Canis lupus familiaris: one gene and its partners. The protein of the gene in region 6 purifies or fractionates together with the protein of the main gene of each other region. This does not show direct contact. Links are inferred from orthologs where the notes say so. Each region holds a gene or a part of one and is shown on either strand. Other genes may lie near its edges.

Region 1 (4,300 bases), on a different chromosome or scaffold from region 6:
CACTGCCCAACGGCTCGGCTCCAACTCGCGTCTCCGCGGCAGCCAAGCGTGGCCGCCCGCCCCACCCCCACAGCCTCCTTCCCGGCACGCGGAAACCTCGGCCGGTTTCCAGGGAAACCGAAACACAGGGCCGTCATGGCAACAGTCTTATCTGGCGGGCGCCCCCCACCCCGTACTGCAGAGGGAAGCCAGTGCCCAAGGCGGGGGGTGGGAGGAGGCACAAGGCCAGGAGGGCCCCTTGAAGAGGCTCTTAAAAATCCAAGCAGGCGGAGAGCTTGGTTTTCAAGGGTTCGGTGACCCCAGGGTTATTTGGTCGCCCAGACCGCCACACTCCCCGGTCTCCAGGTGTCAGCCCCAAACGAGTCGCGGCGCTTCGACGCGCTCGCTGGATCGCAGTCCCTCGGGCTGGAGTGGGGGGCCTCGCCGGCGCGCCGCCTTCCGCCAGGAGCCACGCCCAGGGGACTCCCCACCCCCCCGCGAGCGACACTCCCGGGCCGAGTCCGGCTGCCGCCCAGGCACCGCGGGCGGGGTGGAGGCGCCGGGCCGCTCCCCGCCCTCCTCAGCCGCGGGGGCACCAGCGGCGTCAGGCAGGAGCGCGGGACCGGCCGCCCGGCCGCCGGGTTTGAACACCGAGCTGCGCGGGCGGCGCAGATGGCAGGGCTCGCGGGGCGGCCGGAAGGGGGCTGGGGGAGAGGGGAACGCCGCGGCCGCCCTCCCCCGCGCACGCGCACGCGCCCCCCGCCCCCTCGCGGGCGGGGAGCCCCGCTGACGTCAGCCGAGCCATGTGCTCCGCGCCCGCGTGGAGGCGGGCGGGGGAGCCGGAGGGGGAGGGGGGAGTGAGGGCGGGGCGGGCCGCGGCGAGGGGAAGAGGGCGGGCGGGAGCGGGGAGGAAGCCGGCGCCGCGGCCGCCGCCCGCCCTGCTCTCGGCGGAGCCTCCCTCCCCCATACCTGGATGTACCGCAGCGCCGTCCGCAGCACGCTCAGGTTCGACGTCTTCTTGTCGTCCACGTTGGGGATGTTGCGCTTCAGGGTCTCAAAGCATTCCTTCAGATGGGCCCTCCTGGGGAGAGGGGGAACGCTGGTTGGCCCGCGACTGGGGGGCGGGGAGAAGAGGCCCCAGGGGGGCTTGGGGGACCAAGGGGGGGGCCAGAGGCACGCGCGCACGCACACACACCTGTTCTTCTCCAGTTTGTTGTGGACTTCTCTGGTTCCGATCCTGAAACCCAGACAGGAAGGAAGTTGAGGGAGGAGGGCCCAATTAGGTGGTCTTCTGCCCCCTGCTCCCCACATTCTGTACAAAGCAGCAGTGGGAGATGTTCAGCCTGTGTAGAGGCACATACAGCCCCTGGACGGCACGCGTATGCTCATAAATCACAATCCCTTTAACCCTCCATCTTGCCCTTGTCCACCTGTGAGGAATCGGAGGGCCTCCTGGAGCTCACAGAAATAGCCAGTTGACCCCAGCCCTCACCAAGAGGTCCTCATTCCAATACTCTCGCCAAAGGCCTGGAAATGCCAATGGGCCCATCCCTGAGCAGGTCAGAGAACACAGAAGCCTGACAACAGAGGGCAACAGCCATTACCCACTCCTGGGTGGGGATGGGCACAGGCACAGACCTGTCCAAATACGGATAAGATGCATCTCAGGTGGGGAGGGAGGACATGGCTTTGAAGAACTAGCTTAGGAGGGGCTACTTTCTTTTCCACATGGAGCCCAGAATGTGGGCAGTTCTCCATCCCATCAGCCCGGATTCAGCCACACCTCACTCACCCCCCGGGCCTCTTCTTCTGTTCGCTGGATTTGACTTCTTCGGCTGGTGCCAACTTCAGGGTCCCAAGAGTGGATGGCGGTGGCTGCTGGGGAGCCAGCTGGGTCTGGACTCCAGGGTGAGGTGCTATGGTCAGGATGGGTGTGGGGAGGGGCTGCAAAGGCTTGGGGCTGCCAGTGGGCGGAAGGGTGGTCTTGGAGTCTGGCAGCAGGGGGGCAGGGTTGGGCACCTGTGGCCTGGTGGGCAGGGGAGCAGAGTCCTTAATGCTGAGTCCAGGGGTGCTAACCAGGGCTGGCTGGCGAGGCGCCAGGGGCAAAGGCTGGGCGGCAGGAGGCAGGGGTGGGGGCAGAGGTTGAGGAGAGTTGGTCACGACTGGAATAGGAATGACAGTCAATGGGGTGGGGGTGGCAAGTGGCGGTGGGGGTGCTGGTGGGGGTGCTGGGGGAGACAGAGGTAGGGGTGGCGCTTCAATGCGGGGTTCCTCCACAGGCAGGGCATGGGCCAGCCTGGCCAGGCTGCTGGCCTTCTTCTGCTCTTGCTCCCTCTCCCGCTCCAGGCGAAGCCGCTCCTGCTCCTCTACGCAGAGAGAACACAAGGGATTTCTCAGTGGGCCAGCAGTCCTGGGCCCCAACTTCTGAAGTCTTCCACCATAACACATCTTCTGACTCTGTCCCAATCAGTGCTCAGTGACATGCCTGCTCAGCCTGAGAGACACCCAGCCAGGCACTTGGGCTAAGGGTTGGGAGCACAGCAGTGAAGAGTTTAAACACACCTGGTCTCTGCCTTTGGGGAGCTAGGCCTAGGGGGTGAGGGGAAGGACAAGTAACATAGGATAAGGATCCAGGCTGGAGAGGAGAGGGGCTGTAGAAAAACAGAGCAGGAGGTTGGGGGCCTGGCAGCCTGAAGGTAGAGGGGTTAGACTGGGGCAGGGAGGTTCAGGAACAAGGCTGAGGGTACTGTGGTGACAGATAAGCTGGGCAGAGGCCAGTCAGCAAAAGGCCTCACAGGCCATCATGGAAGAATGGACTAGGGGTGGGACGGGGCGGCAGGCGAGGCGGGGGGGCTGTGCTGGACAGATCATGGCTTCTAGGGAAGGCCTTCAATAGTATTTACAAGTACCTTCCAGAGAGCAGGCAGCATCTTCATTTCAAGATGAAATAAATTAGCTCAGAGAGGCAATGATTTGTTGAGGATCACAGAGCAAGTCACAGGTAAAACTGAAACTAGACCCAGCCAGGAATTCTGACACCTGGCGGAGCCTATACCAGCTGTGTCAGCACGTGCTCACTAGGTGTCTGTCCACACACACACACAAACACACGCGCGCGCGCACCGCTGGGTCCCCACAAGAGTGCACGCCACAGGCAGGGCAGGGACATCACCTTCAGTTCACACATGAGGAAATGAGGCCCAAGACTCCCAAGGTCTGGTTTCCTTAGGGACCCCACAAAACACATTCGGTCCTTCTCTGACCTTTGTGGTCCTATAACTTGTTACACCCAAATGCCCCCGTGTCCCCACCAGCAGCAGCACAACCAGAAAGGTACGAGGCAGGCAGAAAGAAAAGAAAGGCAGCCTTGCACCTGTCAGTTCAGCATCTCTCCTGAAAGCCCTGCTGCAAAGCAAGGCCTGCTCAGGACCTCCCTGAGCACACGGAAAGGGGGAGGGCCCTTCCTGAGCCAGAAGCATCTCTCCACCTCCACCCTGCCCTGCACTCTCCAGGTCCCACAGTTCTGGTTCCCTGGCTCCAGCTGGGAAACCCCAGGCCTGGGAGCAGGCTGGTCAACCAGCCCTCCTGCCTGTCAGGGATTGGCCACACCGCTGCTAACTGATCTGACGCTGCTAGCTGCTAACTGAACGGACAGGTAGTTGGCAGACACGCCTCAAACATACCACCCCACAAGGGGTGGGGCTGGAGGACCAGGTAGGCTCAGAGCCCCCTACGGAGGAGGGCATCAACCCCCAGCGCCCCACGTGTCTCTGGGGCTCAGCCCTTAGGACCACCAACCACTGGAGTGTGAGCCAGGACTGCTCCAAGCCCTTCCCTCCCACAGGGGAGAAGAGGCAAAGGAGGAAGTAGAGAAATGTGAGAGAGGAAGCACTCAGCGGTTTCCCAGCAGCCCTGGCCTCTTCCGTAGCTCCCCAGCCCTTCAGGAAGGGGAGCTGCCAGGCCTGCTCCAAGGAAAGGCCTTCTCTCCTGGGCCTTTCTGTGGCCCCCGCACTGGCTTAGGTTACAGGCCCAGAGAAAAACCAGCTCTCTGCCCTCCAGCTTCCCAGAGAGCACACTAGCCAAGAAGTCTGCGGAGTTCCTCCCGCCAGCTTCCCAGTCCATCCCCCACATTGCTCCCTATCCCACCCCTCTACCCCCCTCCCACCCCATCCCCAAGCAGCTCAGGGCCCGACACACAGCCCACCTTCATGCTTCTGAGCTAGGACCCAAACTTTCACTGGCTTTGGGACCAGTGTTCCACTATCCCATTAGCAGTGGGACTGAGAAGGCCCCAAGCCCCAAGGACAGGTGTCCTGGGAAC
Region 2 (3,500 bases), on a different chromosome or scaffold from region 6:
GGCACCCATAAACTGCTTTTTTGTTTGTTTCTGTTTTGTTTTTAAAGATTTTATTTATTTGAGAGAGACAGCATGTGCAAGAGTATGAGCAAGGGGAGGGGCAGAGGGACAAGTCGACTCCCCACTGAGTTTGGAGCCAGATTGGAGACTTATCCCAGAAACCTGAGATCATGACCTGAGCTGGAGTCAGACGCTTAACTTACTGAGCCACCCATGTGCCTCTCCCCTAAACAGTTTTTTAACAAGATTTGCAGGACATTTTGGGATCTAGGCCCTGCTTCCTCTTCGGTCTCCTCTCTTGTCACTCTTCCTGCCACCGTTCTTCCCCTTCACCACAGATCCTTCAGCCAAACTAAACTGTGTTTTCCCAGTGTACCAGATGGTGTCCTGTCTGGGATTATGCTCATGCTGCTTCCTCTGACTTTGTAGGTCTGTCTTCACTTTGGCTAACTTGTACTCATCCTTAGGACTCAGTTTAGACATCACTTCTTGGGGAAGCCCTCCTCCTCCCTTATGTGCCCATAGGTTTTTCTTAGTGCAGAAGTGCCCTTCCCATGTGCTCTCTGGGCATTTTGTGATCACCCACGTACCCTACTGTATCAGGATTCCCGGCTAGATGTGAATGAACTTCTGTAGAGCAGGGACTGTGCCTTGTTTGTCATTGACTCCTTAGTAATTCATGTTGGGCCTGGCACGGTATGTTGTAGTTTAGTAGATACTTGTGAAATGAATAAGTGAATGATATTAATGTGATGATTTTTCACTAATCATTCTCCCCAAAATTATCTAAAGCAAGGCTATAAATTTTATGAATTGATTTTTATTTTAAGCTTGAGTTTTATGGGCATCCATACTAATGTTTAATACTTTCTTGTATATTTATTATATATTTTTATTTCATTTTATTTTCATGTTAATTTTGTTTAGGCATAAATCATTTGTTTTAAATAATTCTTGGCTTATTTTCTTTTTATAACCTTGAGATTTATCCCTGCCTCAGGTGGAGGATGCGCTGTCCTATCTTGACCAGGTGAAGCTGCAGTTTGGTAGTCAGCCTCAGGTCTACAATGATTTCCTTGACATCATGAAGGAATTTAAATCTCAGAGGTAAAAGATCTATGTGGTTGTATTCAAGCTTTGTGCTTGAAATGTTGCTTTTGGAGGGAGGATATTGCTTATTTTCGTACGCTGAAAGATAAAGGATGCCTCCTTTTGGGGAGTTTAATTTTTAGGATCATGTCTTTATTTCATGTATTGCTTTCTTGATGACGATTATGGGTCCTGGACTTTGTATTCACCCTGTTGGTTAATTTTCCTTAGCACGTCATCTCAATCAGGGAAGTAGAAGGATAGTGATGAGCCCCACCTGGTCTCGGAGTTGACGTAGGGTACGCTAATATTCTGGCGTGGTTCACTTGCTAGAGTAACTCGTGAAAACTGTGAACACACAATGATTTATCCTCATGTGGTAGAGAGTGGGTCCTGCGTGGGAGTTGCTGCTTTAGATATGCTGTTAAGGATCTGCTTGTTAGGACTGTTATCGTGAATATATGTTGTGTTCAAAATTGTGACCAAACCTCTTTGAATATGAGGCTAAAATTGCTTTGGAATTTCAGAGTTCTTTGTATTTTGTTGATTTGGTGATATGCAGGTTGATTTTACATGTTTTCCTATTCAGAGAACCTAGTGGAATGTGCATTTTTTTCTTACTAGGGTATTGGTAAAGCTTGCCACTTTAACTTTTTGTGGTGTGTGTGTGTGTGTGTGTGTGTGTGTTTGTATGTACATGTTTTGTTTTTTGTTTTAATCAGCATTGACACTCCAGGAGTGATTAGTCGTGTGTCCCAGCTGTTCAAAGGACATCCCGACCTGATTATGGGCTTCAATACCTTCTTGCCCCCTGGCTACAAGATTGAGGTGCAAACCAATGACATGGTGAATGTGACAACTCCTGGCCAGGTTCATCAGATCCCCACCCATGGCATCCAGCCCCAGCCTCAGCCACCACCCCAGCATCCTTCTCAGCCTTCAGCCCAGTCAGCCCCAGCTCCTGCCCAACCAGCTCCTCAGCCCCCACCTGCCAAAGTCAGCAAGGTGAGCACTTGGAATACGTTGCATCAGGTAAAATGCATACCTAGAAAGCACCCTCCTTTGATATTTCCCCTTTATATAGAATTTAGAGACATCAGTTGTGGTGATTTCATCACAGAAGCTGAAGTAGTCACATTGGTATAAGATGGTTCACATTTACCTTCCACATACTTAGGTATCTGTTTAGATCAACACATCCATAACTTATAAAGAACTTATTTTGTCCCCACCTCCTGCCTTGTGAACCCATGAGCATCCCAACAGATGGCAACTTTATTGTGTAGTAGTACTTTGATGGCACAGGCAGAAATGATCATCTGATAATCAGATTATGTTACTGCCCACGGGGTCATCATTTTATAAAAGTCACTCCATTTACCAGATTAGGTCATGGCAAGCCAAGCAGAAGATCCCGTTGCTGGTGGTGATGATGGTGGTGGTGTGTACTTGCTCTAGAACTGCACTGTCTGATACAGTAGCCTCTAGCCACATATGGCTGTGTTTAAATTTAAACTAATTAAAATAAATTCAGTTTCTCAGTTGTACTGGCTACATTTCAAGTACTCAGTAGCCCTGGGTAGCTTAGTGGCTATATTCTATAGGACAGTGCAATATGAAAGAACATTGCCATCACTGGAGTTCTATTGGACAGAGGTGGTTTAGAAGATTTTTATGTGGAATTCTGCAACAAGTGTCTTTTGACATTAAAGATCTATGGAGAGTAAGGGTTGATTTTTTTTTTTCTTATTATGTTTGCACCTGTTGAGTGAGCTTAAAAATTGCATTAGAAAAATTCTTCCCTGTAATTGGAGATGTAGCCACTTCTCAGGTTGTATTTCGAAAATTTGAAACAAAAATATCTGTATTAGAGAGTGTGAGCCCTTGCACTCCCCATGCCTGCCCAGTGTGATTTGAGTTGGGCTAACTGGCCTGGTCAGAGTAAATAAAGTACATTTGTTGATCAGACACCTTGTTTCTCTTTAGTTTGACCTTTCTTTCCTATGTCAGACCATCTGTATTTCTGAGGAGAATGACTTTTTTTCTTTTTAGCCTTCCCAACTACAAGCACATACTCCAGCCAGTCAGCAGACACCCCCTCTCCCACCATATGCATCCCCACGCTCTCCACCTGTCCAGCCTCATACACCAGTGACAATCTCGTTGGGAACGGCCCCATCCTTGCAGAACAATCAGCCTGTGGAGTTTAATCATGCCATCAACTATGTTAATAAAATCAAGAACAGGTTCCAGGGCCAACCAGACATCTACAAAGCATTTTTGGAAATTTTGCACACATACCAGGTAAGAGAGTTGCCCTTTCAGCATGTCTTAATTAATCAGGTCACATGCTGAGGGCATCTGGTCTGAGAACTTGAATAACCATTATTATGTTCCCTAAGTTTTACTGG
Region 3 (3,500 bases), on a different chromosome or scaffold from region 6:
GGACCAGGCCTGCCTGCAGGTGTGACTGGACAGTGGGGCCTGGCTTAGGCCCGGCAGCTTCCTGGCCTGTGCTGTGTGCCCATGGGTCCCGAGTCTGCCCTGGGGAAGCCGTGTTGAGTTGTGTGTGGGTGGCAGCACCCAGCCTTGACCCTCCTTAGGGTGGACACTCCCTGCCTGGGATGGGGTCCCTGTGGAGCACACAGTGGGCTTAGGGCTCTGTAGACTGTCAGGGTACTGGGACAGGTGTGTCCCTGACTGCCCCACCTGATAAAAGGGGGCAGAGGTGGGTCTGCTCTCCTCAGCCCGTGCTGGGCGCCCCTGTGTATTGATCACCTGTGGGATTCAGTGGGCCCTTCTTGACGGATCTCAGTCAGATTGAAGCCTCCCTGACTCCTGGGCCATGTGTAGCATCAAGAGGAGGGTGTTGACTGCCCACCTGAGCTTGCTCAGATCTGAGCTCCCGGGTAACTGTGGATGCGTCCCGTCACTTAGCCCCCGTCAGTAGGCGTGACTGCTTTTCTTAGAGAGTTGCTGTGATATTTGGCTCATCATAGCTTTTAATAAATGTGTTTTTGATGTAAGTTAAATATTCTGTTTTGTTTTATTCTGTAACTCATTTTATTTTTAGGTACTGTGTATCGGACATAGCTTGGGAATACCTCCTTAATTGAGAATCCATCTCTTTTTGTGGCTGTAGATAGTAGGGAAGAAAATTAACATGCACATTTGTCTGTTGGTGCCTTAAACTTTATCAGACCTAAAGTTACATCTCTGGTTGGAGCCTGGTGGTTTCGGAGTGGAGTTAGAGATGGTAACTCCCTTGTGAAGCCCAGCAGGGTGAGCAGCCGAGTACATGTCCGAATGTCTCTCAACTCCATCTGCCAGGCACTTGAGGACAGAAGGACGGGCGTGTTGTGGCTGCGGAGCCTCGTCTTCATGTGATGTGAGCGTGGCTTGGGCTCATGAGGAGCTTGGGCTGCAGCCCCGCCAGAGTCAGTGCCTGCGGGCACAGTTTGTAGGAGAGGACCAGAGAGAGAACAGCCTTCTGTCATCCAGGGAGGCCATGTTCACTGTGAACGGTTAGTTATTGAGTACCTGCTGTATGCCTGGTCCTCTGACTTTCGTTCTCGTTGTGGACCAGATGCGTGAGGAGGTCCAGCTTAGGGAGAAGACAAGAGCAAGTGTGCTGGCTGTGGGGGCCTGGACCAGGTGTCAGGTAGCCCTCTGGTGATGCTCCTTCCCGTCCGTGTGGGTGTCGGTGTCCTAAATCCATTCTCCTGAGAATGTAGCCAACCAAGTCTGCGTAGTATACGTCCAGGAAGTGCCACGAGTGACAGGGCTCCGTGTTTTCCCAAACTGGTGGCCCTGGGCCTCGGCAGAAGCACGTTCTCCACAGTGACCCAGGGCCCTTTAAATGCATATGTTTATTTAAAAGAATCAGAAGGTTCAGGAGGTGTGCCTCCTCTCTGGGAATTTGTCTCTGTTGACCTCTTTTTTTTTTTTCAGAAAGTATGCTGTTGATTTCATGGCTTTTGAATGAGTGATCCACAGTTTGGAAAACACTGTGATGAATCTGTGATCATTAGAAAATGATCAAGTGTGAATTAAAAGAATGAAATTGAGAACATTTTTCTTTCTGTGGTTTGTGGGTCATTAGCACTGACAGGTGACCTGACCTAGGACAAAGTGCCCAGTCAGCTATCCCACAGCCATGGCAGGTAGCACACTCATCCTGCTAAGAAGGGGCCCAAGGGATGTCCCCCTGGCTGCCCAGTGGACACAGAGAGACCCTAGGGTGCGCCCTGCCCCTGCAAAGGGCTGCCCTAGCACCTGGAGCCTGAGGGTGACTCGTTGGACAGTGGCATAATGGCCCTGGGGCACTCAGCTGTGTAGATGCTGGGATGTCAGGTTTCTTTCTTTTTTTTTTTTCTTTTTCTTTAATAAATTTATTTTTTATTGGAGTTCAATTTGCCAACATATAGAATAACACCCAGTGCTCATCCCGTCAAGTGCCCCCCTCAGTGCCCGTCACCCAGTCACCCTCACTCCCCGCCCACCTCCCCTTCCACCACCCCTAGTTCGTTTCCCAGAGTTAGGAGTCTCTCATGTTCTGTCTCCATTTCTGATATTTCCCACTCATTTTTTCTCCTTTCCCCTTTATTCCCTTTCACTATTTTTTATATTCCCCAAATGAATGAGAACATATAATGTTTGTCCTTCTCCGATTGGGATGTCAGGTTTCTGAACTGTTTCCTGCATCAGCTCTGTGATGTGGGTGGAGACATGTACAAGATCTTAGAAAACTGGGATTTTTACTTGACTATACACAGCAGTGTGTCTGTCCCCCATGGGAATATTTGCATGTTCACAAGACCGAATTCCGAGTCTTTGTCAAAGACAAAGCAGGCTTTCCCTTTCTTCTGTGAAGAGATGGCGTGGGGTGCTCAGACTCAACCACGTGCAGGGCAGGTCACACTGCCGTCCCCAGAGCCACTCTTGCCTGGAGTGTGTCTTTTGCTGCTGGTGCTAACTGCCACCTTCCACTGCAGTGTTTAGGGTGCCAGGTCCCCCATGAAGCCGCTGTTGGGGTGAGGCTCCCACACACGGGTGGGCTGGTGGGGCACCACAAGGCCTGCTCTGTGATCCCTTTGTTCCGAGAGTTTTCCTCTTTGTGTTTTGGTCTCACTTGGGGAGCCCTGAAAGAGAGGGCTTCATCCTTGTCCATGTCCCTGAAGGGAAGGGCAAGTGAACTAGGGCAAGAGGAACAGTGGGGATGTACCCTGAGGCTTACTCTGTAGGTGCCCCCGCTCTCCACCCCCTCCTTGGTGCCTGCTGTTCCGTGGGGCTCGCTGGTGTGGGGGCATTTCCTGCCTCTTCTGGTGAACCCGGGGACACACCTGAGGTCGATGAGGGCACAAGTGCTGATCGATGGCGTCTAACTCAGCAGGGTCAGCTGTCAGGGGCTCACGTGACCGTGTTCTCTGAATTTCTTAGCTAATGGAGCTCAGCAGTGGCTGTAGATGATGGGAAATGTAAAATGGCAGGGTCATATGCGGGACATTTCTGATTGTGTTCTGAATTGTCTCTTTTGACTGTAGGTAATTGGTACGCCTCAGAGACCTGCAGCGCCCAACACTATCGTGGTAGGAAGCCCACACACCCCTAACACTCACTTTGTCTCACAGAACCAGCCTTCAGACCCCTCACCTTGGTCTGCCGGGTGAGCACATTGCCTAGAATTATAACCTCCAGCTCTCTGGGCCATGAGGGCTGGCCGTCATGCCCAGAAAAGATGTAGTCAGGGTACACTTTTCCTCGTAAAGGAGAAGTCTGGCTGCAGGGGGCCGCCTCCCTGCGGTTTGGGGGGAGGGGTCTGCACCATGGAGGGTGGCCAACATGCGATCGGAAGAAGACGAGGAAGCTGGCTTCTCAGCACTTTGGTGACTTTGGCACTTTTTCCGTTTTCTGCACTGGAAAGTAGCATCTAGGGAAGAGTGTGC
Region 4 (3,977 bases), on a different chromosome or scaffold from region 6:
ACAAAGGTGGCCCAAGGTGACTAGGCTCCCAGGAACAGAGATCCACACAGCGCCACGCCAGGGCCAGAGACTTGGCGCCACACGATGCTCCTTGGGAGTGGCCTGCAGACCAGCAGCCTGTCTCAGCTTGTGTCCTGGACAACCACACACCTTGTTCCCTGGGCATTTCCTTTTTACATGATGTCCTCTTGTTAGCACAGGTTCCTGCCACATATTTGGTGTTTCCGTCCTTAATTGGGAAATAAGACTGCAGGTGATGCTGCCTGGGATGGGGGTTGGGGCCTGGGAGCTGAAGACTGCCTCCAGGACTGTAAGGCCCGCGTGTCGTTGTCGTGTCCCCCCCCCCCCCCCCAACGGGATGAGAACACACAGGACTTGGGCCAGAAGGCGGGCTGCAGGCTCTCCGTTTGCACGAGCCCTCTCCTCTGGGGTTCCCCTTCCTCGTGTGTACCCGGCCATGACAAACTGTCCTGGAGCCCACCTTGCAGACAGCAGAGCGGCCTGCGCCTGGTGACTGCCGGTAGGACGGCCCTGCACTGTCCCTGGCCGGGGCTCTCTGCCGGTGGCGGTGGCGGTGGCCGGCAGACCGCGCAGGAGAGCTGGGGGTGGGGGGGGGGGGGCGAAGCGCAGGGGAGCCGGCACCCTCAACCTTGCTGGCTCCGGTCCTGGCTTCCGGGGCGGGCATGCGCGGAGACACCAGCGCCGCCGGCTGCGGTGCACACGGGCTGCGGCGGTCAGCTGCGCGCCACGGCGGAGAGGGGCAGCGATCCCCGAGGGAGGGTCTCCCACGAACCCTCGGGCCCTGCCTCCCCTGCACGCCCGGGGGCGAGCCCTGCTGCTTTCTGGAGGCGCCGCTGCAGGCCGCGTTCAGGAGGTGAACTTTCGAGGGGCACACTGGCACTTTCCTGGAGGTATCATCATACTTCCGTTTTTAGAAAGTGCACAAGAAGGACCTGCACCAGCCAACTTTGAGGTTACCCCTTTGCACGCCGTCCCTTTAAGGCGTTGGGCCTGCCCCAGGCCTTGTGCCCCTCGCCGCTCCCCGTAGTGCCCCTCCGAGAGGCCGGCTTTGTGCACTCGCCCCGCCCCGCCGCCGCCCCGCCCCCCGCGCACGCGCACGCGCACTCCCCCCCCCCCCCCCCCCCCCCGCCGCGCCGCCTCGTCCAGCTCGGCCCGGCTCCCGCCCAGGCGGCGGCGACGCGACGCCCCGAGCGCCCGCCCCGCCGCCGCGGCCGGCAGGTAAGCGGGGCCCGCTGGGCCAGAGACCGCACACGGGGTGCGGGCGGGGGCCGACGCCGGCTGCCCCCCGGCCCGCCCCGCCGCCGCACGTGTTCCGGCGGGCCGGGCCCAGGTCCCGGGTCCCGGGTCCCGGGTCCCAGGTCCCAGGTCCCGGCCCAGCCCCGCCGGGGCCCTCCCGGTGCCGCGCCCGCGCCCCCACCGCCTCCCTTCCGGTGCCCACCCCGCGGCCCTCGCCCTCGCCCGCGCCCGGGCCCCGCGGCGACCCCTCCGCCTCCTCGCGGCCAGCCCCTCCCGAGCGTCCCCCGCGACCGCGCTGCGGCCCCCCAGCGGCCCGGTGACAGCGCGCGGGCCGGGCCGGGGACCTGCTGCTGCAGCCGGCGCGCGTCTCCCCGAGCTCTCCGCCGCTGCTCCGAAGAAAGAGCCCAGACCCGGCGGCGGGGTCCTGGCCGGGCGCGCGGACCGCGGCGCCCCTCTCTGCGGAAACGCCCCCCGCCGCGCCCTGCTGCTGACCCCCAGCCCGGGCGGCCGGGCCCAGGTGCGGCTCGCCCTCAGCAGCCGGGGACCCCGCTCCGCAGCGCCCCGCGCCGCCTGAGTGTGCTGTGCCACAGCCATTTTGGGTGACGGCAGAGACACTCCCTGTGGCCTTCTCATGCCGCTTTCTGCCCACCCAGGTCCCTTACCCGGCGCTTCGGCACTGGCAGCTGCTGTGCCACACGCTGCCTCCGAGGTCGGCCCGGCCCCCTCCCAGAAGGCAGATAGGTAAGCTGGGCTGGAAGCTCCGCGCGGAACAAACAGGCGGGGAGAGCGGCACACCCCGCCCCCTTGGTCCGGCCACCTGCGGGTCACCGGGTTACCTGCCTGTGGGCCAGTCTCGGGTGGAGTCCGGGGATCTGCATTTTACAAGCAGTGCAGGTGAGCACCCCGGTTTGGGATGGTCAGGCTCACCTGGGTGAAAGGCCTGTGAGGGCCCAGAGGGGTCAGGTGGCGTGTGCTCTGGAGGCCGGTCCCTAAGCAGCTGCCCCGTTGCTTTCCCTGAGCATCGCGGACAATGCAAGGCTTTCCCTCCTCTTGAATGGAAACTGGGGGCATGGAGTCAAGAAATTGCACATTAATGTTTTGCTAGCCCAAGGGATTGGCAGATTGGATTTGATGGAGCTGGGAGGGGTTCGCACACCTCTTCTGTGAGATTAGCTGTGGTATTCTCTAGTCCTCACCTTGAGGGCAGGTAGTTTGCTGGGAGTCACACTCCACCTCCCGGCGGGTCTCAATTTTTATGTTAAAAGGAGCAGCTCTGGGTTCCCTGAGCTGCCCAGGTCACCCCCAGAGGAAGTCTCTTCTGTTCCCACTGCTGTTTCTCCCCCACACCTCTCCTAGCTCTTGCTGATACCTTCTTCAGATACTAGGTTTTGTGAGTCAGTCTTTCCAGCTGTCTTCCATAGCTTCCCCCCGCCCCCCACTTGTCCATCCACCTAGAGCAAGGCAGCACTCGGATTAATTGGCATGACCGGGTTGCACTAAATTTACTCACAAACCAGCTAGTATTTGCTGAGCACCAGCTTTGTGCCAGCATTTTTGTATCTGGGCGTGATTATGTGACCTGCTCCAGGACTTGGCCTTTGGGTGCAGCAGGATCCATCCTTGGGCATAAGCCCAAGTCCTTGCTATATACAGGTAGCCAGTGGGACCACATCTGTGCTCTGCACAAGTATGTTGCATTGTAATTTCCCTTTTGGATAAAGACTTTAAGACGTGGTCTTTTTTTTGATGGACTTCCATTTTGCCTTGGTGTGACAAGGAGTCGTGCAAGCTTTCAGTTTTAAGTGCCAAGCTAGAATTTTACACCGTGTACACCATTAGATTAACAGTGGTGCAAGCTTCCAGGAATTGGATGACCAGTGATGTCTGCAAGAACACCATGGTGGTTCCCCCATTTCAGAGTCACCAGGTGTGCTTCTAGGAGACGCATCTAGGATCTGGAATCTGTTCCTGGGCTAGAGCAAATGAGTCGCTTGCTGTACAGCTTGGGTAGCTCCCATTGTCACGCTGAAACCTAATTGAGCTGCGGTCTTTCCCCTCCTGCAGCGAGAGCTTGCTTGCAGCCGATCTGTGTACACTTCAGGCTTCAGCAGCAGACAGGGCTGGCTCTGGTTTGCACTTCTCAGCTGTGTCTTGTAGTCGCCTCACGAGGGACAGAGCGCCTTTTGAGCTGCCAGGGTTCTGGAGGCGGCCTTGTGTCTACACCAGACGACAGGGAAGCCCCCTGGGAGATGCAGACCGCTGTGGGGCGGGGGGTGGGGGGTGGGGGGGTGTCTGCTCTTGTATATTTTCAAACGTGGTAGTTAAGCACTGTTGCATCACTTGTGAGGATTTGGACGAGTTCCCAAATTTCTACACCCTGAAGCTCAGTCTCCTGTAATTTGGGTTGGTTTAGGGTTGTTTTTTTTTTTTTTGTTACGTTTCAAGGGCTCTTTGAAGAAAATTGCATTTTGTTTGCCTGGCCTGAGCTGCATTCCTACCAGGAGGATAACAGTAGGGAGCACCCTTGAAGGTGGGGCCTTGGATTACATGGACAAAAGGGGCCTGGGCAGCCTGTCTTAGCATCTGAAGAGTATTTAGTGCAGACTTAGCTCCACAGATAGGTTCCTCATTTTGGAATAGTGTGTCTGCTCAGGGCCCAGCAAGGTGGGTGAAGGTTTTTCACCCTTTTTGCTGGGAATTAATTTTTAAAATATGGCTTG
Region 5 (2,913 bases), on a different chromosome or scaffold from region 6:
CATAATTGGTAAAATTTCAAGTAACACAGTAAAGATAAAAAAAATTCACATAGATGGAAAATATTTGGGATACAGGAAATCGCATAAGTATATGATAGCCCCAAAGCACATACTCTCCTAGTGGCTTCTGCTCTTTCTTAGATTTTTTTCCACTTGCATTTTAGGAGATTGTCATCAAAACAGTGTTTTGTCCCCAAAAATTCTCATAGTAAGATCCAGCAGTGAATAGGGAAGTGGAAGCAGGGAGTAAACACCTTCACCTGAGTTGTTTTCTGTACGTTATTAATGTTTTTCTCCAGAAATTATCATCATCAAAATGACACTAGAGTTTAAAGGAATGCTTCTTTAGATACTGTAAATATTGTAAATAAAATTTTAAGAATTATTCATGAAATAATTATACATGAAATAATTTTTTACCAATTGCTTTCCTTAATTGTGAGTTTGTATCCCATAAAAACTGCAGAGATTCTAACGTTACACTTGTTATGCATGTATCATAAGAGAAATTATCTCCTCAGTAAGTAGCATTCTGCTTAGAGACCCTTGACTGATGTTTACACTAGCATATGTGACGTATCAGGATATTCATAGCATTCAGGCCTTCCACGAACAGATCGTTATTGCGGTGAAGGCTCCTGCAGAAACCAGATTGGATGTTCCAGCTCCAAGAGAAGTAGGTATCCCTGCATTTCTAAGAGGGTTTATTTATTTTATTTTTAAATTTTTTATTTTTATTTATTTATTTAAGATTTTATTTATTTATTCCATGAGAGACAGAGAGAGAGAGAGGCAGAGACACAGGCAGAGGGAGAAGCAGGTTCCATGCAGGGAGCCTGATGCGGGACTCTGTCCTGGGTCTCCAGGATCACACCCTGGGCCGAAGGCGGCACTAAACCGCTGAGCCACCCAGGGATCCCCGAAAAGGGTTATTTTAAAGAGAAAATTCAGTCAACTGCTGAGCCAGTGCTCTATCACAGTCGTGAGCACATTAGCTGCGTACCTGACACTGCTGGATGCACTTTACACATTTTAACTTGTTTCAAGTGACACAGCAAATAGTCATGATTATTGGCCTCTTAAAGGTGAGGAGTCTGAATGAAGCATAGAAAGATGAACTTTCTCATGATTACACAGTAAGTGACAGAATCAGAATCCAAACCCAGATAGTTTGGCTTAGAGTGTTCTTAATCACTGTCCTATCAACATACTAACTGTGAAGCACCATAGCGCCTGTGTTCTACTGGAGTATGCTGTGATGCCCTTGGAGGAATCACCAAGAATTGGCCTCATGGTTGGAGTTCCAGAAGGAAAATCTGGGGATCAGCGAAGGCTCTGGGGGAATTAACTGTAACCAAGCTCATGAAAGACTAATGGCTAAACTAGAACGCTAAGTGTTACATGAAAAATGAAAGGGAAGATTGCTGTGTGAATGAAAATACTCTTTGTCAGCCGCCAGCTGCTTAGCACACTCTTTCCCTTGCAGGGAAGTTTGTATTGAAAGATAATTGTCATCAGAAGGTTGCTTGGTAAGGATGGAATCAGAACCAAGGAATGTGGCCTTTCTTGGGACAGATCATCAAGTTCTGACAGCCTGATAGACCCATCGGTGCTCATAGTGATGTCCTCTGCTTGCTACAGGGACTCACCTCCCTCATAGTGGAAGAATACTCTCCATCATCTCTCCTTTTATCCCCGCAGAGCACTGTCCAAGTGAGCACGCATGTTGTTACTTGACAGTGTATTATTATAAGTCAGTTAAGGGGCAGCTTTTAATTTAGTCACACTCAAGTTGTGACTTCTGGGAGATGTTTCCTCATTATTTTATTCAGATTTAAGCCTCCTAAGTAACATATTTAATAGGAGTCATTTTGAGAGAATTTTAAAGTTTAAAAAGTTATAATTAGCCACTAATCTTTCAACACATCCTTACTTTGGGGCACAATGGTCTGTGCTACAGCAACTGATGGGCTTTGGGGTTTTCTTTCCCCTGTGCTGTGAGCTGCTTCAGGCTGTAATTGCCAAATTTTGCTGGGCTTTTGGATCATGCCCAAGACTTAGAGTCCAGTTTAAAGGCTGATGAACATGGGCCCTCGGGGCAGCCACTCTGCAGCACATAAGTGGGAGTAGTAGACAGGAGCACACTGCATTCAGTGGCATCTGCCCCCACAGAGATCCAGGGCGAGATCTGGGAAGCTAGTGCCAGGGTGGATAGACTGGCCTCGGGTCAAATCTGGTTTGTGAGGTTTTTATACATAATCTCCCTGGGACACAGCCACATTCCCATTTGTCTAGACTGTTGTCTCTGGCTGCTTTCACTCTGTAATGGCAGAGTTGTATAGTGGTGACAGGGATGGTGTGGCCTGCAAAGCCAAAAAATGTTTACGATCTCCCCCTTTATGGAAAACATTTGTCAGCTCTGATTCAGTGGAGTAAGGAGTCCTCAGTTGGCTGCCAGTTCTGAGCAAAATACCACTTCCTTTTGTTTAGTAATATGTTTTGAGTTGTATACGCTGTACCATTCCTGGCAGTCTAGAACCTGGGCATAGATGTTCATTCTCATACCTGTGGTCCCAGGAAGCCACAGAAAAGGTGACACAAGGTTTTGTGAGCCTCTGATAAGCTGCAATTCTGAGCCCTGTTGTGAGATCCCAGTGAGATGTGTGGAGCGGGAGGGAGCATGGTGTCCATACCTAGTCCTGGCCTCACTGCATGGAAGGACAGAGAACAGACTGTGTTACACTTGAACACTCTTTTGGTTAGAACAACAAAGGAATCATAACTGGAACTGTTCCTTAAGAATTTAGCATAAATTGGATCATTCCCATCTTTTGGCCAAAAAGAAAAAAAGCATAATTCTCAGTAGAAGCACCCTACTTCCTGATACCTCACAGAAAAAATATATAAATTCTG
Region 6 (4,120 bases):
ACTTAACACCTGCTACTGACACCTCCCCACTGCCAGATCCCAAAGGTTCGCGTGGGCATTCCGAGCCGCGCCCCCTAGGTCCCCCGCAGCAGGCTACCCCCCCCCGCAACCCCCCCCCCCCCCCCCGGCCCAAGCGGGTTACGCCCCAGGGCGCAATGCAGAGCGACTCAGGCATCAGGAAGACAAAGTAAAACCAGTCGCACCAAGGAGAGGCAGCGTTATTTAGGCAGCCAGCTACTCCCCCAGAGCCTCCACCCTGTCCCCTGGGCCCGGCGCCCGGCGCTCAGACAGTGCCGGGCTCCTGGAGCCCCAGCTCCCTCCACGTGTCCTGTCTTCCCAGCAGCCTCCTCTGCAAGCCTCTGGAAGAAAACCTCCTGACAACTCGCGGTCTGCGGACTACAACTCCCAGCAGACACCGCTTCGCTTCGCTCTCCGCCCCCCTCCACAGGACACGCAGGCGCTCTGGGCTCCGTCAGCAGGCTGGACCGGCGACGGCCGTGTGCAGCTCCTTTTGGGATTTGTAGTTTTTCCGGAGCCAGCCGGGCCGTCAGTCAAAGGGAAGACAACTACAAGTCTCGGCGGCCCCAGCGTGACGGACCGGGTCACGTGGCAGGGGGCCGACCGGGCGTGCGTGCCGCCGTTGATCCGGTGCTGCAGTGAGGAGGTGGTTCTCGCCCGTGTTGTGTGTGTGTGTGTGTGAGTGAGAGAGCGAGTGAGTGAGTGAGTGTGTGTGTGTGTGTGTGGGGGGACTCGGCTTGTTGTTGTCGGTGACTTCCCCCTCCCCTCCACCCCTCCCCCTTCCCCGCCGCCGCTGCAGTGGCCGCTCCCTGGGCCGTAGGAAATGAGCGATAACGATGACATCGAGGTGGAGAGCGACGTGAGTCCCGGGGCTTCTTCCTTCCCGTGCGGGTTGTCAGGCGGGGACAGCGGCCGGGGCTCTCAGCGGGGCGACGGCGGCAGGGGGCCGGGCAGCCGCCTCCTCCTTCCCCTTCCCCTCCCCTCCCCCGGCTGGGACCGCCTCCGCCGCGCTCCGGGCTCGCTCCCCTCCAGGCTCCTAGCCGGAGCGGCCTTCTGGGACTGGAGGTGGGGTGGAGACACGCGGCCTTTGGGACCCCCCACCTCCCCCGGTGGAGGAAGGTGCTGCTGCCTCCGGCTCCCACCCTATCCCGCTCAGGATCCGGGGGTCCGGGACAGGGTGCGCCCGGGATCCATTGTCCGCTCCCGGGGAAGGGGACGCCGCTCGGGACCTGCCCCCCTCGGTTGCGATCACCCTCTTCCCGTGACCCACGGATCCTGGCGGGTGAGGGAGGGCGGAGAGGGGGTGGGAGTGCCCAGATGCCCAGAGCTGGGTGCGAGGGGAGGAGACAGTGCTCTGAACCCCCTCCGGCCGGAGTCGGATCCCGGAAGGAGGGGCGGCGCTCGGGACCCCCCCTGCCCGGCTACCGGATCCCGCTGGGGGGATGGGGGCGTGGGGTGAGGAGGGAGGGAGGGGGGTCTGGCTGACTCCCCACCCGCCGCTTCCTCCGCCGCCGGCATTTTCTTTCTTATTATTGAATGTGAAGTGTAAAAATAACTTCTATATTTTCTATTTTTTTTTCTCTCTTATTCCAGGAAGAGCAACCGAGGTTTCAATCTGCGGTACGTCTCCTACTCTCCATTTCATTTTCATTTCCGTTCAGTTCTAGTCCTTTTTGGGGTCAGAGAGAAAAAGATTGTCCTATTGTTTTTAATACTGTAGTAAACTCTTCTGTAACCGCTAAGGTGAGGCGGGGCAGTTTTCTGGGGTTCTAGGTGGGGGGCGGGGGGGCGGGTTTTCAAATCTCCTCATCCTAGACTCTCCGGTGTTTCAGTGAGTGTAGGTGAGTGAAAGGAGCTGTTTGCAGAGAAATGACTCTTTCTGTAGTTTCCAGGTGGGGGATCTAGATGTCACTATGTAAGTGTAAAATGAGAAATGTCATTCTGAAGTAAATTGTATTATTTTGGGGCAAAGTGGTCAGATTTCGTTTGGCACAAGCAGATTCTAAACCATACATGCACAGTTATGTGAAGCTGAAGCCACATGCAAAAAATCATCTTTAACCAAAAGTCACGTGGTCATGTGACTGCTGTAGACCTATAGAATCTGGCACAACCTGGTATCATTCTAATGCAGAAATTAGAAATGTAGAGGAACCAAAGGTTGAATATGAAAGCGTCACAAACTGCTTATTTTGGTCTGATTGAGTTGAAGGAGAGGTATAAAAGAAAATGGAAAAATTGTCAAGGAAAGGTGGCATTGCAGAGATAGATTTGCTAAAAGGTGGTGGTTGAGACATGCAATGTTATCAGTAAATTTCTCAGGGTTTGGTATTAATGTTGTCAGTAGACGGTTCCGTGGATTTGGATAGATACTACTCTCATGCCTTTCCAGTTTGGGACAGTACCATGAATAGATTAGAGAAAAAAAAAAAAGATAGACATAAAAAAAATCAGAGTCAGAGAGAGGAAGAGAAATACATCAGAGTGTCTAACATTTGACCGATGGGAACAGTACGAAGTTTATAGAATGGGGGTCAAAAATTCAGATGCCTCTGGGGAGCCCAGGCAGTAAGATCGTTGGGAATAAAGAGTGGAGGTGAGGACTGGGTTCTGGAATGCACATGTCTCATCTGAAAAGGCAATCACTAAACTCCGGTGGGGGGGGGGTGTTATGTGGGAGTAAGGGCTCACTGTTTCCAGATCTTATTTTTAAAGAAAGTCTAGAAACCCAGATTTTTATGTTATTTTTCTGATTTTTGAAATGATGTTTGGGACATCCAAGTTGTTTGGGAACTTGTTAGAATATGCAGGATGACACTTTGGTACCTCTGGTATCCCAGGATAAAAGCAAGTCCTCTTCCTTATATCTGTTCTTTTTTAGAGCAAGCAAAGTTTCTATAGGTTGTCCATGCAGATAGGCATTAAGAAAAAATATTGTTTATTGAGAGCTGATATTTGCTGTAAAATCTAGAGTATGCAGTTGTTCCAGAAGATTTTAAAAATTATACCTGGGTAAAAGTCACTATAAAAGGTTTGTTTGTTTTATCTTTCCTTGATATATTGTCAGACACTTACCTTTACGTGTTTATTTGGAAATTCAGTTCTTTTTTTCTAGTCACTGTGATCCTTATTGTGAACGTGGAGTTTCATGTTTGGGATCCAGTCTATTTAAAACATTTTTTTTTCCAAGTCTCCAGTTATAAAATGTGCCCCAGGGCTTGATCAGGATTGGAGGATAGGGATTGGTTAGGCATGCTTTGCAGAATCATTATTTGACTTGGAATTACATTGGCTTTCCAGTGAGAGAAAGTTTTCTTTGTGAAAGTTTGGCTTACAGCTCTTGAAAGCTTTCTGCTTTTCAAAATATCCATCCACAAGGGTATTGATGTAAATTGCTTTATTAAATTATTAAAATGTTTCCACTCTCCTAGAATGCTAATGTCATTGTTTTTTCTAGATATTTTTAGTTTGGTGGTAAGGTGCCTAGGTTTTTTTTCTCGTTGATTTTGGGAGGTGGGCAGTGGGAGTGAATTTGACCCTCTGTTTTTAATTTGACACCTCTACTTGCTGAGACTTTTAAATATTATCTGGCATAAAATAATCACCATAGTATGGAGAGAAGAAGCAATAGATAAATTTTATAGAATATCAAACAATTATCGTGAACAAGTGGGGTAAAATGGATTTTGGGTTTTTTCCCTCTGCGAATACATCAATTTCCCACCATTTAGTATAAATAATAAATATATTTTTTAAAATTTGGGGGAACTATTCTTAAGCTTTGTATTAGTTCAGAAAAGGATGTGAACAACCAAGTATTTAGGACTATTGGAGAACTTTTAAAAAGTTGTATGGAAAAAGGTTCTGTGAGTCCTAATGGAAATAGAGACATTTATTTATGTTTTATAATGTCACTACAATAGGTACAGCCTTGTTGTGTGAGAAATATAAGATTCTCAGCAAGAACAGTTAGGAAGTGAGGCTAAGTATAACAGAAAGTGAAACTGATTTGACGAATATTTTTTTCTCTTGCCTCAGTGCAAACGGAAAACAGCTTCTCCGGTGACCAGTAAGCTTTGTTGAATCCCAAACAATATTTTTA
Region 7 (3,996 bases), on a different chromosome or scaffold from region 6:
AGAGAAGAGGGAAATATGCAGAAGGAAGCCACACACCTAGGCGAAGGAAGAGTTTTGGGGACTCAATACAAGAGTTTCATCCGCTGTCTTCGCCAGGAGGCAGCTTTTCTGATGGGGGGTGGGTGGGAGGAGGGAGTCGGATAGGGAGAGGGAGGTAGGGAGAAAGTGGAAATTCTTGAATGCCAGGCTCTGGAGTCTGAGAGCCTTTAGCGAACTGCTAGATCGGATGGTGGCCTAACGTCGTCTGCATTTTATTTTCAATCTGGTTGCAGATTACCTAATAGATTGAGGAAGTAGAGCTGGAGCTTCGCGGGGCCAGGTCGACGCATCCGGTATGTGGAGGCAACGAGGCTCGGGAGAGACGTGTTCCTTTCTCAGTCAGCAGCCTCCAGGGAATATGTAAACTCGTTATTTAAAAAAAAAAAAAAAAAAAAAAAGAGAGAGGGAGAGAGAAAGAAAAAGGGTTTATGAGTTTTTTTTTTAAAGCCATTGTAAATAGTGGTGGGGGGGGGGGCAAAAGGATGCATTTGGAATTAAAACCAAGGTTAAAGTCCTGCCTTTGTCATCTTCTCATTATATAATAATACGGGGGAGGTCACCTCACCTCTCTCGGGCCTCGGTTTCGTTTCCTCTAATTTAAGGGCGACGATACCTTCTGGGCAGAGATTCGCGTGCAGAGAAATTGGGATCTCAAGTCCCCGCCCTCCCCCCCCTTAAGGCCCGCGCTCGGGCTGGTTCCCGCCTTCCCCCAGGTGAGCCCCCGGGCGGGGCCGGGCGCGCGGCCCTACCTGAGGAGGCGGCCGGGCTGTCCTCCCGAGCGGGGCGGCCGTCGTCCCGCGGGCTGGCGGGGCGGCGGCGGCAGCACAGCAGCAGCAGCAGCGGCGGCGGCTCCACCTCCTCCTCTTCCTCCTCCTCCGGGAGCCGCCGCCAGCTCGGGCCGTGAGGGGTCACGCGGCGGCCCCGGCGGGGAGGCTGCGGCGGCGGCCGCCCCCGCCGACCGGCCGCGGGCGCTGGGCCGCGCTGGCCGCGTTTGAAGTCTCCGGCGCCGCCGCTGATTGGCCGGCGCGGGTCACGTGCGCCCAGGCAGGAGTTTCCCCGACAGCTGGAGGCTGCGTGGGCTCCGGCGGCGGCGGCGGCGGCGGCGGCGGCGGCGGCTCCCGAGCTCGGCGCTGCGGCCTTCCCCGCCCCCTCCTCCCTCCCTCCTCCTCCTCCTCCTCCTCCTCCTCCTCCTCCTCCCCCGCCCGCTTCCGCCCCGGCTTATTATCCTCCTTATTGACAAACAGAGCGGCGGCGGCGGCGGCGAGCTCGGCGTGCGTCGGTAGCCAAGCCATGGGAGACAAGAAGAGCCCCACCAGGTAACGGGGCCCGGGCGGTGCGCAGGCGGCGGGGCCCGAGCGCCGGGCTTCCCCGGCTCGCTCGCCGCCCGGGCTGCGGGGCCACACCGGGGGCGGCGCCGCTGCCGCTGCCGCTGCCGCTGCCGCGTGTGAGGGGCCGGCGCCGGCCGCCCCACAATGGAGCCGCGATGGCGGCGGCCGCGGGTGTCAGAGCGGCGGCGACTGCGGCCGCGCCCTCCCCCTCGCTGGCTTCCCTCGGGCTCGGGGAGGCGCGGGGCGCGGGGGCCGCGGGGGGCCGCGGGGGGCCGCGGGGTCGCGGGCCTGGGGCGGGCGGGGGCGGGGCGGGGCGCGAGCGCCGGGCGCGGCCTGCCGGTGACCCCGCGCCGCGTCGTGTCCGGGTTGTGTCCTGCAGGCCGAAGCGGCAGCCGAAGCCGTCCTCGGATGAGGGCTACTGGGACTGTAGCGTCTGCACCTTCCGGAACAGCGCCGAGGCCTTCAAGTGCATGATGTGCGATGTGCGGAAGGGCACCTCCACCCGGTGAGTCGCGGGCCTGCCCGGCGCGCCGTCGCCGCCCCCGCCCCTGCGGAGGCCGCCCCTCCCGTGACACCGCAGCCCCGGCGGGAGCGAGGTGGCGGCCGCGACAGGAACTGGGTCACGTTGATCGCGCCCCGAGCCGCGGTTTGCGGCGAGCGGTAATTGAAGAGGCCGGAACGTTACTTTGCTGCCAAGAGAGAATAAATTATTTAAGGCGAGGCATTAGCTCCTGCGATGTAATTCGTATCGCTGGGTGTGATGCCCCCCCCCCCCCCGCCGGCCTCCCATTCCGGGTATAATAATGTTGGCTGCATTGTTGTGTTAGTGTGTAGGAATCAAAGAGAGAGAGAGAAAAAAAAAAAACAAATACCATGAAACACTCTGGAGAAAGCAAAAGGTAGAATTTAATTTCGTTCTTCCAAAAAAAAAAAAAAAAGAAAGAAAAGAAAGAAAAAGTATTTGATTCTAGGAATCAAAGGGGGAAAAAAAAAACCAACCATGAAACACTGGAGAAAGCAAAAGGTAGAATTTAATTTCGTTCTTCAAAAAAAAAAAAAAAAAAAAAAAAAGAAAAAGTATTTGATTCTAGGAATCAAAGGGGGAAAAAAAAAAAAACCAACCATGAGACACTCTGGAGAAAGCAAAAGGTAGAATTTAATTTCGTTCTTCCAAAAAAAAAGAAAAGAAAGAAAAAGTATTTGATTCTAGGAATCAAAGGGGGAAAAAAAAAAAAACCAACCATGAGACACTCTGGAGAAAGCAAAAGGTAGAATTTAATTTCGTTCTTCCAAAAGCAAAGAAAGAAAAAGTATTTGATTCTAGAATACACAATAGGTTGAACTTCCTGTATTTTATATATAGATGTCTGGAACGGTTAGATCAACGTTTCGGTTAGTATTTTTAACCTTATTCTCTAAGATTTTATAAATAGTTGGAGGTGAGCCCGGTCACAGGGACACATTTTTTTTGTTTTTTTACTGAAAGTATCTTGAGTATTTTTAGTTTGATGAAATGGCAATCTATTAGGCTATACAAATGAGATGAAATGATCTCTGCCTATTTTCAGTTTTTATTTTATTGTAGGCCTACAGTATAATAGCTCAGTCTTTAAAAAAACAAACCACTTAGTGGATTAAGTGGATAAAGAAAATCATACAGGAAATTCAAAGTCTGACGTTCTTGATCTGCCAACGCTTCGTTACAGAGTTCCTTCCACTTTATAGGAAAGTAGCCTTGGAATTTATTGTAAGCATGGGATTTATAGCTAATATTTAGATATCATGTGCCTTGATATTAAAAAATAGTCTGTTAGAAACTCAAGGGTATAGGTATACTGATGTGATAGACTGTTGCTTTAAAAAAGGCCTATTTGGTATTGACATTAGATTTATATATTCGGTAGAAGTTAGAATCCTAAAAACGAGATAACCAGGTTTTAAAACACCATTTACAACAATTTATGACTTTTTTTTTTAAAGATAGAGGCAGAATGGTTGGAAATAAATTTTAAGATTTGCTTAGTTAGAAGCTAGCTGCATTTCACATACTTGTCTTTTCATGGATCCTAATATGCTTTTTACATATTAAATCTCATTTACATTGGATAAAATATGTAGAGCATTTTTCATGATATCCTTTAAGAAGCAAACTTTAAAATGTCTAAATTCAAGAAATAGAATAGACCATTAAAAAAAAAAAAAAGCACCTATTTGCTAAAGTGAACATGGCAACAATTTTTGGACCCGTGCTTTAAGTATTTTGAAAAGTAGAATATCTTTATTTTTTTATATAAGGTTGGATTTGGTTTAGAATATATTTGTATATCTATGTTAGTACGTTGTGCTTCTTAAAACACTCAAGCAATTTTCAGAAAATGTGGTTTTTCCAGGCAGGGACTTTTAAAGTGGAGACAATTATTTTATAATCTTAATCTCTGGTACGATGTTGTTGCTTTTTGTTGTTCCCTCTCTATTTTCTTGTAGCCATTAGAAAAAATACTGAAACTAGAAGAGCCTATATGTTTATTTGCAGGGACAGCAAGGAAGGGGGGAAGCTGTTGTCCTACTCCACAGCCAGTCTTGGGGTTAGAGGAACCCTGAGAAAATAGAGTAGGTGGTGGCAGCTCAG

The links.
Region 1: the proteins of MAX (region 6) and MNT purify together in Homo sapiens (affinity purification with mass spectrometry; 7 studies listed by BioGRID and IntAct, with this or other methods). This does not show direct contact. The link is inferred for Canis lupus familiaris from reciprocal best matches to the Homo sapiens genes MAX and MNT.
Region 2: the proteins of MAX (region 6) and SIN3A purify together in Homo sapiens (affinity purification with mass spectrometry; 3 studies listed by BioGRID and IntAct, with this or other methods). This does not show direct contact. The link is inferred for Canis lupus familiaris from reciprocal best matches to the Homo sapiens genes MAX and SIN3A.
Region 3: the proteins of MAX (region 6) and TFDP1 purify together in Homo sapiens (affinity purification with mass spectrometry; 5 studies listed by BioGRID and IntAct, with this or other methods). This does not show direct contact. The link is inferred for Canis lupus familiaris from reciprocal best matches to the Homo sapiens genes MAX and TFDP1.
Region 4: the proteins of MAX (region 6) and WDR5 purify together in Homo sapiens (affinity purification with mass spectrometry; 4 studies listed by BioGRID and IntAct, with this or other methods). This does not show direct contact. The link is inferred for Canis lupus familiaris from reciprocal best matches to the Homo sapiens genes MAX and WDR5.
Region 5: the proteins of MAX (region 6) and E2F6 purify together in Homo sapiens (affinity purification with mass spectrometry; 5 studies listed by BioGRID and IntAct, with this or other methods). This does not show direct contact. The link is inferred for Canis lupus familiaris from reciprocal best matches to the Homo sapiens genes MAX and E2F6.
Region 7: the proteins of MAX (region 6) and YAF2 purify together in Homo sapiens (affinity purification with mass spectrometry; 3 studies listed by BioGRID and IntAct, with this or other methods). This does not show direct contact. The link is inferred for Canis lupus familiaris from reciprocal best matches to the Homo sapiens genes MAX and YAF2.

What each region holds. Positions count from the first base shown.
Region 1 is NC_049230.1:46,424,394-46,428,693, forward strand, and holds the start of MNT (max-binding protein MNT), read right to left. Parts: upstream 2,801-4,300; 5' UTR 2,428-2,800; coding exon 1,772-2,427; exon of another isoform or gene 1,217-1,771; coding exon 1,175-1,216; exon of another isoform or gene 1,156-1,174; intron 1,061-1,155; coding exon 949-1,060; intron 1-948. UniProt on the Homo sapiens protein: Binds DNA as a heterodimer with MAX and represses transcription. Binds to the canonical E box sequence 5'-CACGTG-3' and, with higher affinity, to 5'-CACGCG-3'.
Region 2 is NC_049251.1:38,711,407-38,714,906, reverse strand, and holds part of SIN3A (paired amphipathic helix protein Sin3a), read left to right. Parts: intron 1-1,000; coding exon 1,001-1,107; intron 1,108-1,811; coding exon 1,812-2,094; intron 2,095-2,470; exon of another isoform or gene 2,471-2,714; intron 2,715-3,141; coding exon 3,142-3,393; intron 3,394-3,500. UniProt on the Homo sapiens protein: Acts as a transcriptional repressor. Corepressor for REST. Interacts with MXI1 to repress MYC responsive genes and antagonize MYC oncogenic activities. Also interacts with MXD1-MAX heterodimers to repress transcription by tethering SIN3A to DNA.
Region 3 is NC_049243.1:61,040,141-61,043,640, forward strand, and holds part of TFDP1 (transcription factor Dp-1), read left to right. Parts: intron 1-3,098; coding exon 3,099-3,220; intron 3,221-3,500. UniProt on the Homo sapiens protein: Can stimulate E2F-dependent transcription.
Region 4 is NC_049230.1:50,406,245-50,410,221, forward strand, and holds the start of WDR5 (WD repeat-containing protein 5), read left to right. Parts: upstream 1-1,177; 5' UTR 1,178-1,239; intron 1,240-1,910; 5' UTR 1,911-1,998; intron 1,999-2,004; exon of another isoform or gene 2,005-2,151; intron 2,152-3,977.
Region 5 is NC_049238.1:8,169,805-8,172,717, reverse strand, and holds part of E2F6 (transcription factor E2F6), read left to right. Parts: intron 1-561; coding exon 562-676; intron 677-1,486; exon of another isoform or gene 1,487-1,713; intron 1,714-2,913. UniProt on the Homo sapiens protein: Inhibitor of E2F-dependent transcription. Binds DNA cooperatively with DP proteins through the E2 recognition site, 5'-TTTC[CG]CGC-3'. Has a preference for the 5'-TTTCCCGC-3' E2F recognition site.
Region 6 is NC_049229.1:39,737,504-39,741,623, reverse strand, and holds the start of MAX (protein max), read left to right. Parts: upstream 1-1,320; 5' UTR 1,321-1,335; coding exon 1,336-1,473; intron 1,474-1,611; coding exon 1,612-1,638; intron 1,639-4,120. UniProt on the Homo sapiens protein: Transcription regulator. Forms a sequence-specific DNA-binding protein complex with MYC or MAD which recognizes the core sequence 5'-CAC[GA]TG-3'. The MYC:MAX complex is a transcriptional activator, whereas the MAD:MAX complex is a repressor.
Region 7 is NC_049248.1:34,870,834-34,874,829, reverse strand, and holds the start of YAF2 (YY1-associated factor 2), read left to right. Parts: upstream 1-1,196; 5' UTR 1,197-1,329; coding exon 1,330-1,355; intron 1,356-1,746; coding exon 1,747-1,872; intron 1,873-3,996. UniProt on the Homo sapiens protein: Binds to MYC and inhibits MYC-mediated transactivation. Also binds to MYCN and enhances MYCN-dependent transcriptional activation. Increases calpain 2-mediated proteolysis of YY1 in vitro.